3 linked regions of the Danio rerio genome follow. The protein of the gene in region 2 interacts with the protein of the main gene of each other region in a pairwise test. Links are inferred from orthologs where the notes say so. Each region holds a gene or a part of one and is shown on either strand. Other genes may lie near its edges.

Region 1 (5,519 bases), on a different chromosome or scaffold from region 2:
ATCCTCTCCACTGCCGTCCTCGTCATCCTCCTCTCCTTCAACCTCATCTTCATCATCATCCTCATCTTCCTCTTCATCAAAATCCTCCTCCTCGTCCTCATCTTCTCCTTCTGTGTTTAAAGTGATATTAATGAACATCTGCAACCTAAAAAACTGTTGGTAAACTGAACCTATCCCTCACACTGACCCTCGTCATCATCGTCGTCCACTCCATCGACCTCTCCATCAGAGTCTGACGCCTCTCGGTCATCCAGATCGTAGCCGTCCAGATACGTGAGCTGTGGAAGGAGCTTGAAGACACTTTCCCGGTAGTCGTTCAGGTTTGTGACTTCACAATTGAAAAGGTCAAGACTCTTCAGATGGTCGAGTTTTTTCTGCCAAAGAGAAAGGATTCATCACAGAACTGTACAACCTCCACTTTGTGTTGATTAATCAATTCTTGTTGGGGGAAGCTCATGTTTTGTACAAAGTTCATGCACAAATTAAAGTCATGCAAACATTAAAGTTACAACATTTACTTTATTTTTTAAAAGATATTTTAGGAAATGTCAGTTTTGTCTGTGTAACTAATTGTACACAAAATAAGTGAAAATTACCAATTATTTTTTTTAAACAAATGTATATTTAAACAAAAAAAAGTCAGCCAGTTTGGAACATGAGGGGCATTTTCCAATTTAGGTGAAATGATTTTAACCCTGTAAAACCTGACACGAATTAACAGTATAAAAATAAAAAAAAAATCAACATTTAGTAAAAATTTTAAAGAAACATTCATATAGAATTACACAAGTAAAAAGAAAGATCAAATTAGCAACGAAAATATATAAAAGTAAATAGTCTTTGTAAGACTTAATTTTTTTTTTAAAGATCAAAGCTCTGTGTATAGACATTTTTAGAATGGTTCAATTGGTACATAGAAAATGAAGTAAACCACAAGTTGTTTCAATCTATTAAGTGTTTCTTGAAATATTTCAAACTTTTAAAAAATTAATTTTAATATTTATCAATAAAAAAGTCTTTAAAATAATGTAGCAAAAAGACACTTGTAGACCCTTGATAAACAATCGAATGAAAGGGATGCTGAACATTGTGCACATCACATTTTATATTAAATTGTACATAACTTAACTAACCTAACTATATAACTAAATAATTTATATAATAATAAATAACTAAAATTTATAAGCTGTGATGCAAGTTAAGCTCCAAATTTCAACGTGTAAAACCATAATCTAGTTTGAAAAGGAAGTGTTTACAAACCAATGGTTCCAATGTGCTGATGTCTTTCAGTTTGTTGCCGCTTAGGTTTAGATGTGTGAGATTGGGGAGTTTTTCAGCTAAAACGTCAAGGCCACCAGAGATTCTGTTGTCGCTGAGTTCCAACTGAAAATAACAATACATCCATATCAAAACATATAACATTGTGCACATGTTTGAAAGATGGTAAACAATAAGAAAACTTTAAGTTACCTTTTTTAGTTTTCCGAGTTTAGGAAGGTTGGATACTGAGAGCAGACCAACATTTATCAAACTTAGAAATTCAAGATTAACAAATTCTGCTGTGAGGCCTTCAATTTTCCCTTCATTTGATCTGCAGTTGTCGAGGACAAGTTCTCGTACCTAGATTAAACAAAAGGTAAGAAATAAAAATAATAATAAAATACTGTTTGCAATATTAACAGGTTTCACCTGTAATAACCATAACAATCATGATTCAAATAAAAAAAAAAATTTATGTGACTTTTGCAAAAGGGGTGTTGGACACGTTGGCCATAAGCATGCCATAAAAAGGCGACAAACTATGCAGTTTTTTTTCTGATAGTTTCTTAACCAGACAAAACAAAGAACAGTCTTTGTAAACACAGTCTTAAAGTGTGTTGGGGATTTTGACACTGTGAGTGGTCGTAAGCTAGTTCGATGAAATTGTAGTCAAGAAACTAAAATGAAAACCACTGAAGGCTGTTTGTTAAGCGGTTGCTGCTGCTGCTGTTGTTGTATGGCCCTATGGCTCAGACTGTCGCAGCGAGTCGCCAATGAGAAAACAGCAGATTACACGCCGACAGCCAGACAACATGGACATATATCCGAAAGACACCGCCGTGTTTTGTTTAATTTCGTTTGACAAACAACAAATGGAGGGCATTTAGGAGCTCGTGTAAGATGGAAGCGATATGTCGATGGCGTATTCCTACAGCGAAAGACGAAGACAGAGCGGAAATTAGTGAGACAAAAATGGAGAGTTTCTTTCTCTCATGACAACATGGCGCCTCCTTGGATAGCTTGTGTTGCTGAAAAAACAACACATTAAACAAAAATCAAACGCTGCGTTCGAAAAACGTACTATAAGCTTCCGGCTATCAGGACAATATTTTACGCGATGTTTGGTGGATTTTAGAACTGACCAAACATTTGTACCGGTTTGTCATATCAAGTTAGCACATGTAACGTAACGTTAGCTTCTTTTTCCTCAGTCGCTGTTTTGGTCTCTACAAGTGTTATTTTATACTGTAGATCATTTAGACGTTTAAAAACAATCAAAGCGATCATTTATCTAATATAATGGTTAGCGTGATCGGTAGTGGCGCGTGGGAAGTAATGGCGGGAATCGGCGTCTCGCAACAGCGAGTAACAATTTAACGAATAAAACCCAACACGAGCTTTTTAATGAGTAATACATGCGTTCATGTTGCACGTTTTAAGGTTACTTTAGAGCATCTCTAGTCAGTCAGAAAAACTAAACTTTTCAAAAAAAATTTGTTAATTCATATAATCGACAACCATGTTACCCTTTAGAATACAATTCATATCGCGACTGCATGTTAGTCAGACTACACATTTAACTTTATTTTTTAATTGCCTTTCCTGATATTTTTATTTTTAGTTGAAAGAATACATACGCCGTAGAGCGATTAAGACCGAAATGTTACCGTATTTACGAAAATTTGTTAGCGTATGGTTATCTTCACAGAATATCTGATTTATTGCTTTAGCTTTTAAGTGCCTGTAATAAAGGGCGCCTCATGTTAGCAACAAACATGGCCACCGCGGCGAAATAAACCATCCCATCCACATCCTACCACGCCGAGGTTAAAATAAGCAGATATGAAGTTTAAAAAGAATACACGTAACGTATCCAGCGTGTGGGGCTTAGAATACTGCAATAATGCCTTCATTCAGCTTTCCAAACTAAGTAACGTTGCTGAGTGTACCTTACTCAGCCTGGTTCCTTTCATAACAAAATGATACGAATAAACATTAATGCAGTAGATGTACGCGCAGCACTTTCTCATTTAACTCTGTACCAGGGGCATTACACCCATGTGCTTACCATTAAACTACACACAAATCCGTGGAAGTAGAAAGTAGCAAGGCTAGCATGGCTGAGCACAAAACTAAAGGTTTGCCTCAAAATTACTCACATCAGATGGTGTCCTGTTCCTCAGCTCCAAATGAATCCTCTTTTTCATGTCCATTTCGCCCCTTAAAAGTTGGACTCTTCCCTCTTGGGTTCTGGAGGAATTTCTGTTCAGCCCAAAAGGTAGAAAGATGCCTAATGGAGGGAGAATATGGGACTGTATAATGATCTGAGCCCAGCGCCAAGTTACTCTGGGAGAGCAGAAACCATGGAGGGAAACGGCGCTGAAACTAATATATACTCAATAGCGCCATCTCTGGCCAAGCGCCCCCACTGCAGTCGAGTATAAGATCAAACACTGCTGCATTACAGTGTGACATGAAAAGATTGTCTCAATTTGATTCTTTGCACTATTATTACTTCATACTGTTATTGGTTGTAAAGATTACTTACAGTTTTATTTGATGTCATTTATTGTATTAAGAATAAAAAAAAGTTGTGCTGTACATTTTACCTTTTTTAGAAACCTTGAATAAGTCATACACTGAACTCTGACTTTTTTGAAAGACTGAGGGTTGAAATAACTTCTTTGTGTGGTTAAAGTGTGCACATTAAAATAAATCAATCATTAAAATAAATCATGCGTTATAATGTGACACTGTCATTAAATTTCAGTCAGCCAATAATTTATTTTAATATTAATGTTAAGTTTTACTAAAGAAATAATTATTGTTAAAAAGAAGACTCTCCCTCCATCAGCCATATACACATTTAAATACATATTTTAATACTTAATTCAGAATCTTTAATCACACATTAACAATAAATCGTGTTCTGGAAATCAAAGGTATATCACTAAGTATAACTCTTAGTTTTTTAAAGAGTTTAAAGTCTTCTAAAGTAATCTTTGTGTTTTATGATTTTATTATTTTAAATATAATTATGTACTTTATTTACTGTTATATACTGAGTCAAACTGAATATCATGATTTTATTGTTCCAAAGAAACTTGGAATCTTCAACAAGTTGCCAGGAGAGGGCATCATCTTGTTTTTTTGCCTCTACATTGTCTCATAATTCAGGTCTTTCATATTCTTCAGTATGGTGAGAAAAAAAATATAACAATGGACCAACTTCAAGCATAAGCAAAATATGGCTTAAAAAAAACAACAGCAACTCCATTGTTAAAAACTGAACATTTATGTAATATTTAGGGGAAACATATGAGCAAGCTGTACAAAAAAATAAAAAAACTGTACAAAAACTGATAAAATCACATCCAGAAATGAGACATTTAGAAATTTGAAAGCATAAATACCACAAATGTACAGAATTATGAGAACCCCTAACCCAGTTTTAGCATGCCTTGTATGGCAACATGATAAGAGATTTGTAATTGTAGTGTCAACTGTTTTATTATTAAGTCCAATAATCTACACAGTTGTAAAATGGCCAAAGAATGAGCCTGTTTTGTACAGTTTCCAAACATTGTTCTTTACTCCAGTGCTCCAGGATAAAAAAAAAAAAAAAACTCAAAATAAACAGCAAAACAGAACCAGTTTCAAAAATCAAACCCCTTCCATGACTTTTCTGACTACAGCAATCTTTGAACATTTACTTCATTCTACAAAGAACTGGAGGCTTTTTCTTCTCAAAGAATAATGCGATATCCCACACAGAGGTTTCAACTGTTCTGCAGGCGCCTTGCTATTAAAATGCTGTTCGGTGTTAGTGTTATTTTGGATGATGAGATAACCACATTACAGCACTGGAAGATAAGAGCTAGCATATAACTTTTATAAAATTCAATAGAAAGTAATGGAGTTATTTAGAATAAAATAAACAATTTAATTTACAAATAATGATGAATATTTCTTTCATTAAGTGTAGCACTGTCTATCTACATGGCGGGAGAGCAGTCCCAATCTCAATGTGTTTTGACATGATTGTGAACACGCCCAGAATGTGAGGGACTGCGATAACATAGTTATGGCAAGAGCAGGACTTTTACTACACTTTTGAGTATTCAAATAACATGGAAATTCAGAATGCAGACACAACTTTAATGTTAGCCTTTTGAAATTCGCTTTTAAAACAGATTTATTGTTGTTGAATTTTTTAATTGTCAACAAATAAATATTGATGTGTACAGGACAATGTTAGA
Region 2 (4,719 bases):
TATTTTCTAAATGCATCTTATGTTCCTAATTGTGAATAGTTAATCTCTGGATAGGTTTCTCTTAAAATGTTTACTTTTCTCAATGTTATTTAACAAGGTATATTAAAATGTCATAACAGGACCTTTCAGTAAGGTTGCTGTCAGATTAGTTTTGTCACTAATGCAGGATGTAAAAATTTGTGTGTATGTGTGTCTCCACTGCCTATGGAAACAAGTGACATTAAATGATCTTTTCAAGAGGTCTGTGATCTAGCAGAGATCAAGCAAGTATTTTAATAAGTCTTGATGATTTTTCTATTGTGCTCATCTTGCTTTGATCGTCTCTTTACAGCAGACAACATCATGAGTCAAGGGAAGGACAATGCACGTCTCAAAAGCTATAAAAACAAATCGCTCAACACAGATGAGATGAGGAGGAGGAGGGAGGAAGAAGGCCTGCAACTTCGAAAACAAAAGAAAGATGAACAAGTAAGTCAAGTGGAGATAAGAGTGACTTGTTTTTCTGTTTTATTTGACTCTTGTGGTTTTACTAATAAAGATATTATTAAACTAGCCTTAAATTTATAGGAAGGATGGAATGAACTTTGAGACAATATAATGAAAAGAAATTTTTGTCTTTTTGAAAAAAAGTTTCTCACCAATCTGAATTTGTTTGATTAAAATTTATAAAAGTGTATTGTATATAGTGTAAAGTATTATATTCACTATTAACTATTACTGGGCTAGCATAAAATCATATTGTATCATATTTTTGTCATATTTAATGTTTTTAAATATTTTATTATTATTATTATTATTATTATTAGAAAAGTACATTCTACTGGACAACAATATTTCTGTTTCAATTTCATCAATTGAAGCTTTCATTTTGAAGAGTCGTGAAGATGCATGAGTGCTTGATTGTAAATAAAAAAATAAAATATATATTGAAAAATAAAATATATTTAAATAAAATTGCAAGTAAAGTGCACTCTTAAGAGAAGCTTTGGGGATAAAGTTTCAACTTTGACAAATTTGAACGTTCTTATAGCTGTTCAAGCGCAGAAATGTGGCCACAGTGGAGGAGGATGGAGCACTGGAAGATGATGGGATGTCTGACAGCGGATACCTGGAATCACAGGCCAACAATATGGACCAAATCACGGTAGTACAGCAAAAATGAAGGCTAGTCTTAGCTTTTTACTTACTGATGAAAAATTAATTGCCTTTTTTTGTTTTTCCATCGTTAAAGGGAAGTGTTATTTCTGAAGACATGATACAGATGATCTTCTCCAGCTCTCCAGAACAACAGCTCATAGGAACACAGCGCTTCAGAAAGCTCTTATCTAAAGGTGAAATACCCCAAAGACTAAAAATCAAGCATTTACATAATCAAATTAGTGCTAAATTATGCTAATTCTGTCTTTGTAACCCTCCATTAGAGCCTAATCCCCCTATTGATGAGGTTATTGCCACCCCTGGTGTCGTGGAGCGATTTGTTGAGTTCCTGAAAAGAAGAGAGAACTGCACACTACAGGTGATGGATATTTAAGGAATATTAAAATCCCAAGAGATTTTATATATTTCTTTTCTTTGGAAATATTAAAACAGTATGTTGCATCAAGAGAGAAAGACACATTATTTATGTAAGGTATTAAAAAGACAGCAGCCTAAGAAAGAAAATAAAAACTCTTTTGGAACTGTTCTGACTTTTGTTTTGTGAACTGAATCGTTTTCATTCCAAGAGCATGTAAAAAAAGTCAAAAACTCATTGCTGATGAGAAGGGGAGGTTTCATATCTTTAAATTTATGTAGAATTTATTTGATCTATTTAGAATCTCCGTGTTTATATGTTCATTATGAAGGGGCCTACTATTTTTGAAAATGCCCTGCTATATTTCATAATTCTTATTACATGTATCTGAAATAGTGTTTGCTGATTGTGAAATCTATATTCACTGAATCAAATCAAGATTTGTTTCACAAATTGAAAAAAAAAAAAACCTGCTAGACTGAAAACCCCAAGTCGCAGCAGTGAGCCAGTGAGTCATCCAGCATGAGTCTCTCCCAGCACATGCTCACACTCCTGGAATGTGTATATTCTGCAAGTCTTCTCTGAATCTTTATTTAATCCCATCAGCTCTTGAATGGTGCATTAGTGAACATTTTTGTGCAGAATGGTGACAGACGTCTTGTCTTTGTGTGCAGTTTGAAGCAGCGTGGGTTCTGACTAACATCGCCTCAGGAACATCCCACCAGACGCGTGTGGTCATCCAGGCTGGGGCAGTGCCCATTTTCATTGAGATGCTCAGCTCAGATTTTGAAGATGTACAGGAGCAAGTAAGCATCTCATACTATAGACATTTACAAGGGACTTTATAGGGCTGGGCAATTAAATGAAATTAAATTGCATATCTTATAAGGGCGCTCTCACAGATTCTCCAAACACCCCCCGATGAAGAAACCAGAAAATTCTCATAGGTTTTCATTTTAGCCTAAAGATTTAACTGCTTTGAATCAGCATGACTAATTAACACACGACTATGAAATCATCTCACAAAAGAATTTATTTCAAACACTCGACTGTTATAAAGTGTATTTGGAGTACAATAAAAGGCATTATTATATATAGAATTTTTCTGTGCCGCTCTATACAGAGCTGTAGTTCACCGAGAAGCTACACAAACAGCAGAACGATTATCTTAATGTCATTTTTATAAGGTTTATTCAATTTCTTGTCAATAAACTACAACTTGGTGTAGGGAATGCTGCTCCATCTGAAAGAAATCGTCCTGGAAGTTTTGCAGAAGCAGCTTTACTGACAAAATGCGCATTAAATCTTTCTTTAATCACCCAGCCCTAGGTTTTTACATACAAGCCCGAAATACTCAAACATGTTACAATAAAATCCTAAAAAGTAAACCTAGTCGTGATTCATCTGTAGGAGACAAAAGCAATTTATTCATTTACTATATACTATATAACTGCAGGTTAATTATGCTTATATATAAGCATATCTTATTTCTGTTAAAAGTTTTTAGTTACTAGTTAATTTAAGTAATCAGCAACTAATAAAGTTATGGTAACTATTAACCTTAACTTTTCTGATTTTGATTATTATGCAATAACATACACCTTTTGTAATGCTGCTTTGAAATAATGATTATTGTGAAAAGCACTATACAGTGTCCATACGATCCTGGAAAACCTGGAAAAGTCATGGAATTTTGTCAGGTCATTTTCCAGGTCCAGGAAAATTAATAAACCCAAAATGTTTTGGAAAAATCACGGAGATTTCTCCAAAAGATAATTTTCATACAGACATCAAGATATTTTCTAAAAACTGTTTCACTAATATAAAAATAAACATATTACATAGATTGTCACACATTTCTTGATATGGTGTAATAAATTTGAATGTGTGTTTTGTCTTATTTACCATGTGTATTTCATGACAGTAGGTCATAAATATTTACCTGAATGTTTTGGAAACTTCATGGAAAAGTCCTGGAATTTTAGTAGTTAAAATGTGTATGAACCCTGACTATACAAATAAACTTGAATTCAACTTAATTCGTTTTAGAAAATCATCACTGCATTTATACTTTAAAATTAATAAAAATAAAATATTTAGCTGCAAATGAAATGTTCAGTCTGTTCCAAGCTTTTTTGTATATTGAGAATTCATAGGACCTATGTAAGTTTGTGATTGTGTTTTTCTTTGCAGGCAGTGTGGGCTTTAGGTAATATCGCCGGTGACAGCACTGAATGCAGGGACTATGTTCTGGACTGCAATATTTTGCCCTCTCTAGTACAGTAAGTGATACTATCTTTTTTTTAGAGCACCCATATCTTTGAATGGCTGTTCTGATTGTGCTGATTTTTATTGCAGGTTATTGGCCAAACAAAATCGCCTGACTATGATGAGAAACGCAGTCTGGGCTCTGTCTAACCTGTGCAGAGGGAAAAATCCACCACCGGATTTTGCCAAGGTAAAAGTCTTGTTTTGATCTTAATAGATCTGTACAATACATTTTTTTAAACAATGCACAAGTAGTTTGCAAATTTAAAATAAATGTTACTTAAATAATATATCATGGTTTCCACAAAAATATTAAGCAGCATTGTTTTCAACAGTGAGAATATTCGTTCAACATTATGTCAACATATATTATTGATTTCTGAAAGATCACGTGACATTGCAAAGTGGAATAATGGCTGCTGAAAATGTAGCATTGTTATAAATATAAAAAATTCGATTTAAAACATTAAAAGCAAAACAATTATTTTATTCTAACACAAATGTAACAAAACTGTTAGACAATTTCAATGTATTTTTATATAATTTTAAATAAATGGATCATACTATCCCTAAACTTATGAACAGTAGTGTGTATTGGTTTATATTGGCATTGACAGTGGTTGAGCATCTTGTTAGGAAAGGATAACACACAAACAACAGTTGCATTACATCTGTAGCTAGAAACATTTAACCAAAAGCACATCAATTATTAACAACTAGAAGCTTGTCTGTAGAGTTTATGCAACTTAATTATTGTTTTTGTACAAAACAGTGAAACATTTCTTAAAATTTATTATCTGCCAGATGATTAGATGTGAATAAGGAGGGCATGATAGATGAGAAGTGCCTGCTGCTAAATGACAGACAAGTAAATAAAATGGCCATTGTTAACTCCTATTCATGGTGTTGCTTGAGGGTGTTGTGATTACTGAAACATG
Region 3 (5,157 bases), on a different chromosome or scaffold from region 2:
TTAATGTGTCCTAATAGCGTTTTTAGCAACGCGAGACACCTATATAACTATCAAGATCTCAAAAAATGTGTTTTGGCATTTCGTGACCCTTTAAAAATACAAAAAGTGTTTAAAACACTGAAAAGTTTAGGTTTGTAATACAATCTATTTAATTACAATAAAAGAACTTTCAAAACTCTTCAATTAAGAGGCAAAGATATGATGTCAGTTAAAAGCAAGGCATTTAAACTTATTTCTGTCACTTAATTACTTACCCCTACATAGACACTAGTACACTTACGAACTGGGCTCACTTAAATTGGCGCATTGAAAAGGTAAAGAAAATGTTACTGTTGGTGGGTTTAAATCGTTATTCCGACCTGTCCTCAGGGTTAACAGGGATTCCCAGGTCTCCTGTACGCAGTTTACGTGTCAGGTCTTCAATCTGCAGTTGGACTGGAAGAAATCAGGTTAGGAAAGAAAAAAAAACAAGGATGGAGAAAAATGTGGTTAACAACAAAAAGACCCCACAAAACCAGAATCAGTACACTGTAAAACTCAATGTGACTAGGGTTAAGCAACAAACAAAAAATTACCATGGTAAATTGACAGTTCACTAAGAATCAAGGTCAAGTAAAGACATTTGATCCTCTGTAGTATTTTTTCTGAAACACTGAAAGCCCGACAGGAATTCTGCAAAGCATACTTCGGTTTAAGCTTGAGTGTATTCTCATGAGCCCATTCCCCAAATAATCAGAAATTCAAGTTTCAAATGTTCAGCCAATTTTAATTTCAGAAACCTGAAGGGATTTCAGCAAATAACAATTTCAGAAAAAGATCATAGCAACAGGCTTTCCATTTTATGCCACCAACTCTGAGAAGTAAAATTCACATTATGCATATCCTTAAAAACATTAGTTCACATGAGCTAAAAAGGTGGCAAAAACATGAAGGCCTGTCGAGGGGGGAAAAAAAGTTGTGTTTGAAGAAATCAAAAAACATATTGGCTAAATGGCTTGAGCAAATGCATCCTCATATAAAAAGTTATAGAATAACACCAGCGTAATGAAATTAAATTACTATGTTAAAAAAATAGTCATTAACACTGGGTGTGAAAAGCCAATACATAAACAATTACATTCAACACTCAAGTTATTGACACGTCAGCAACTTACCAGTAGTTACAAACACTACTCAATTAAGTAAAATCCAATATTTATAAATAAGTTCTAAGACAAACAGATCAGCCTTTAGCAGGTCGTTTTATCATGCAATTTATTTTACTAAGGCCTCAAGCCACGCCAACCAAATCAGCCTGTACAAACCCAAAGACTGACCTGTAACCAACCAAATTACTGCATCACTCATGGAAGCATTTCATGGGCTTTCACATGCATTTCTCTATGACATGCTTAAGAGAATCGGACCCCACATTGAATGGTGCAGGTTGATGGTGGGTAAGAGACATGAGGTGTCAGTTGTCAAAAGGAGGAGTAGTTAAAGAGATGTAGGTCTAGGTCACATTATAGTCGAAACAAACACTACACCACATGCTACTGCAAAACAAGTGCCTGACAGCAATGAGAAAGCAATTTACTACACACTGCTTTCAGACACAAGGGGATGGAGATGACTTTAGCAATTCAGTATCGGACCTGCATTGCTTTCGCAGTCGAATTGGACGAGACATTTTTTGCATAGTAAACATGAGCAGTGATGGAGTTCTGCAGCTGGAGACAGTTCACAGCAAGCAGCAACATCAGAAAACACAGTGGGTTCTTGCTAATGGACATCAGATGGTATATGCAAACATTGACAGTGCTACCAATACCTCAGTGTGTCCTAAACGAACAAAAATAAATAAATGGCACTCACATTGCACATTGATGGAGTTAGTGCATTCTAGTAAATATGGGGCAAAGTGCTGAATTTCGATGGATTGACTTCTTTGAGAAGACCATTTCTATAAAGTCATTTGAGACATATAGAGATGACCGTTTTGAACTGTTGCTTTAACATAAAGGTTCTTTCACTAATTTGACATCAGTTGTATCAGCAAAGAAGTCAGACTAATGAAATTAAGCAGTTACATCCTTCATGTGATGTGCAAACTGTGAGAAAAAAAATTATAAACAAGTTTTGGGACAAAAAAAAAAAAAGTGACTTGTTTGGGTGTAGACAGAATATTCCCCCGTTCACATACAAAATTATTTGCAACCTAAACTCTATGACTCTGACAGATGTTGTAATAGCAAATTTTAGATATTCACCTATATAAGCTCGTTCTTGGTCCCGAGTCAGCCCAGGAGGGATCACGGTGGGCATGCCCGGGATAACAGTCTTCTGATCAGGGGTCTCGCTGCTCCAGCGACTTCTTTTCCGTTTCTTCTGTCCAAAATCTGACAGGGGATGTAAACAAATTAAGCCATTATGTCTGATTTGTGGATGTCTAAAGCCTGTAAATTAAGACCAAAACTTCACAGAAACGTTCACCATGTCTTTATGATGCAAAATGTTTAATTTATTGAATTATTACACTTTTAAAAAGTAAACATAGGATTTTTTCTTTGATTAAAAAGAAATTATAAATATGAAGAGTTCAGATGCAAAAACCTCTTAAGTGCCGTCTGAAATTTCCATCAATTTTTCACCTTTGCCTCTCTTGTTTATGTTGAAATATTTTACTTTAAAGACCTGGAAAAGGACTTATTCTTTGCCATAAAAGTGATATTACGAAACATACTAATAATTTAAGAAATATTTAAGACAGCATTCTAAGGTTTTTAGCAGTTTAAGCAAGCAGTTTGCTGCTAAATGCCACGTTATATTAACTTAACATCGTTAGCCATATAAACACTGCAATGTAATAAACATCTTTGTTCAGTCTGGGCATGTACATTTGCTGTGTAAAAGCTCCCAACCCTTTTTATACCATATTATGCACTAAACTGAAAAAAAAAAATCTATATTAAAAAAAACAGTGTGCACTTTATTGTCTAATGTTAACACTGCTCGATTTCAAAACAATAGATTTTTCTGCATCATATTTCATTTCAGAGTTCAGTGTTAAATACAACACAATACTTTAACGTGTAACGTTAGATTAAGTTTTGATCCCCCAAATGAACATGTTAAATAATTACACATTCCAAAGATTTTTAATATGCAATGGCATTGTAAAAACAAGTAAGACTATTAATGACGGTAACCAGCCATTCTACTTTTATAAATGGAGGCCGTTGATCCTGAAGGAGTCAAGGCCTGTCCACGGTGTTTACCTCCGCCTCCCGCTTGAGACTGCTGTCCTACTACGATAGGGTTTGAGAGCGCAGAGCTCACGGCTCCGGGAAACTGCGGGAACCCAGGATTTGATAATTGTGGCGGTTGGAAGTTCTGCAGCGGGAAAGGCACCGAAGGCCCAGGCGGAGGCATTAACCCCGGACCGGGGCCAGAGTCAAAGCCTCGCTTAGCGCCGATGCTCGGGTGCAGCTTACCAAGCGGGGTTGCGTTAGCTCCCGTTGCCATTTCTGGGCGTCAGGGGCTTCTTCGTGGTTCGATATCTGCACAGAATGTATCCGTTTCTTTTGTTGATAAATCAATTGATACGAACGCGTGTCTCCGACCACGCAACCTTCTTCTGTCACCCGCTGGATAAGATGGCGTCCGCTGAGATCGACAAAGGAGCTTTGACGTCAATTTAGAAATATCCGATTGGTCGATAGTCGTGTCAATCTGTGTTTGGGGAACATTCATTGGATCATTTAAGGTCTGTCGTGTTTCCGTCGGAGCAATTTACTTACCTCTCATTGGTCGCCAAGCCGGCCATATGTTCCAGGATAGGTTGGCTCTTTCTGTGCGGTGTGGTCAGGTTGTAGCTAGATCAGATACGGTTATGGCTGGCAGACAACGAAAATTACATTTCCCATATTTTATTAGGGCGACAGTGTTTTTTTCACAGTGGTTAGCACTGTCGCCTCACAGCAAGAATGTCACTGGTTCAAGCCCCAGCTTTGGCAGTTGGCCTTTCTGTGTGGAGAAAATGAGTATAAATGAGTGTATGGATGTTTCCCAGTATTGGGTTGCAGCTGGAAGGGCATCCGCTGTGTAAAACATAGGAGCAATTCCATGCAAATGTCAACCTTGCCATAAATAAAAAAGATTTCGACAAAATAGCAAAACTGTTTCTGGGTTTTTGTGCTTTAAAATACTCAAAAATGTCTCCATTAATGTTTTCAAACTATTATATTTGACTTACCAAAATCACATGAGTGGCAATTCCACATCTGTCACATCAATAACGAAGATTTTGCCTAGTAAATGGAAAAATGTCAAATTAAATTAAATCAATCATTTTTGTTTTATAATGAGCCAACTCTTATCCTTTTGATGAGCATTGTTTCTGAGATTTTACTGCAAATGTCACATCCATAACGCTGGAATTGCTAATTTGCTGAATAAGTTGGTGGTTCTGTCCACTGTGGCGACCCCCGATAAATAAAGGGATTAAATGAACCCTTTAGCTCATGAAAATAAATGAACCCTACCCTAACCCTAAATCCAACCGTCACAGTACTGTAAACATGTTAATTATTGGTATACAGTGTCACAAAAAATGATGATATACATATACACAGCTGTATCTTATCTACTCTTACTGTGCAGGTCAGGTTTTGGTAGATACAGTATGTCTATATGAGTGATAAAATTACATTTAAAACTTAGATTTTATTTGTATTATAGTTTATTTTTTTCCCATTTACACTACTGAGTTACATTATATCCTGACCTTGCTAATTATTCTACATTTGTATAATTCGAACCCTTAGAATTAATAACGGGCAAAGGAGTGGCACAGTAGGTAGTGCTGTCGCCTCACAGCAAGAAGGTCTCTGGGTCGCTGGTTCGAACCTCGGCTCAGTTGGCGTTTCAGTGTGGAGTTTGCATGTTCTCCCTGCCTTTGCGTGGGTTTCCTCCAGGTGCGCCGGTTTCCCCCACAGTCCAAAGACATGCGGTACAGGTGAATTGGGTAGGCTAAATTGTCCATAGTGTAAGAGTGTGTGTGTGAATATGTGTGTGGATGTTTCCCAGAGATGGGTTGCAGCTGGAAGGGCATCCGCTGCGTAAAAAACTAGCTGGATAAGTTGGCGGTTCATTCCGCTGTGGCGACCCCACATTAAT

What was found. The genes of interacting proteins can lie anywhere in the genome.
Region 1: the proteins of kpna1 (region 2) and anp32b interact in binary tests that used the Homo sapiens proteins (3 or more experiments, as listed by UniProt). The link is inferred for Danio rerio from reciprocal best matches to the Homo sapiens genes KPNA1 and ANP32B.
Region 3: the proteins of kpna1 (region 2) and sf1 interact in binary tests that used the Homo sapiens proteins (3 or more experiments, as listed by UniProt). The link is inferred for Danio rerio from reciprocal best matches to the Homo sapiens genes KPNA1 and SF1.

What each region holds. Positions count from the first base shown.
Region 1 is NC_133176.1:28,299,283-28,304,801, forward strand, and holds the start of anp32b (acidic leucine-rich nuclear phosphoprotein 32 family member B), read right to left. Parts: upstream 3,641-5,519; 5' UTR 3,474-3,640; coding exon 3,420-3,473; exon of another isoform or gene 2,043-3,419; intron 1,621-2,042; coding exon 1,471-1,620; intron 1,384-1,470; coding exon 1,261-1,383; intron 375-1,260; coding exon 188-374; intron 111-187; coding exon 1-110. UniProt on the Homo sapiens protein: Multifunctional protein that is involved in the regulation of many processes including cell proliferation, apoptosis, cell cycle progression or transcription.
Region 2 is NC_133199.1:24,829,762-24,834,480, reverse strand, and holds part of kpna1 (importin subunit alpha-5), read left to right. Parts: intron 1-331; coding exon 332-468; intron 469-1,030; coding exon 1,031-1,144; intron 1,145-1,231; coding exon 1,232-1,331; intron 1,332-1,421; coding exon 1,422-1,516; intron 1,517-2,187; coding exon 2,188-2,319; intron 2,320-3,706; coding exon 3,707-3,795; intron 3,796-3,871; coding exon 3,872-3,971; intron 3,972-4,719. UniProt on the Homo sapiens protein: Functions in nuclear protein import as an adapter protein for nuclear receptor KPNB1. Binds specifically and directly to substrates containing either a simple or bipartite NLS motif.
Region 3 is NC_133182.1:22,788,315-22,793,471, reverse strand, and holds the start of sf1 (splicing factor 1), read right to left. Parts: upstream 3,641-5,157; 5' UTR 3,505-3,640; coding exon 3,258-3,504; intron 2,379-3,257; coding exon 2,250-2,378; intron 436-2,249; coding exon 360-435; intron 1-359. UniProt on the Homo sapiens protein: Necessary for the ATP-dependent first step of spliceosome assembly. Binds to the intron branch point sequence (BPS) 5'-UACUAAC-3' of the pre-mRNA. May act as transcription repressor.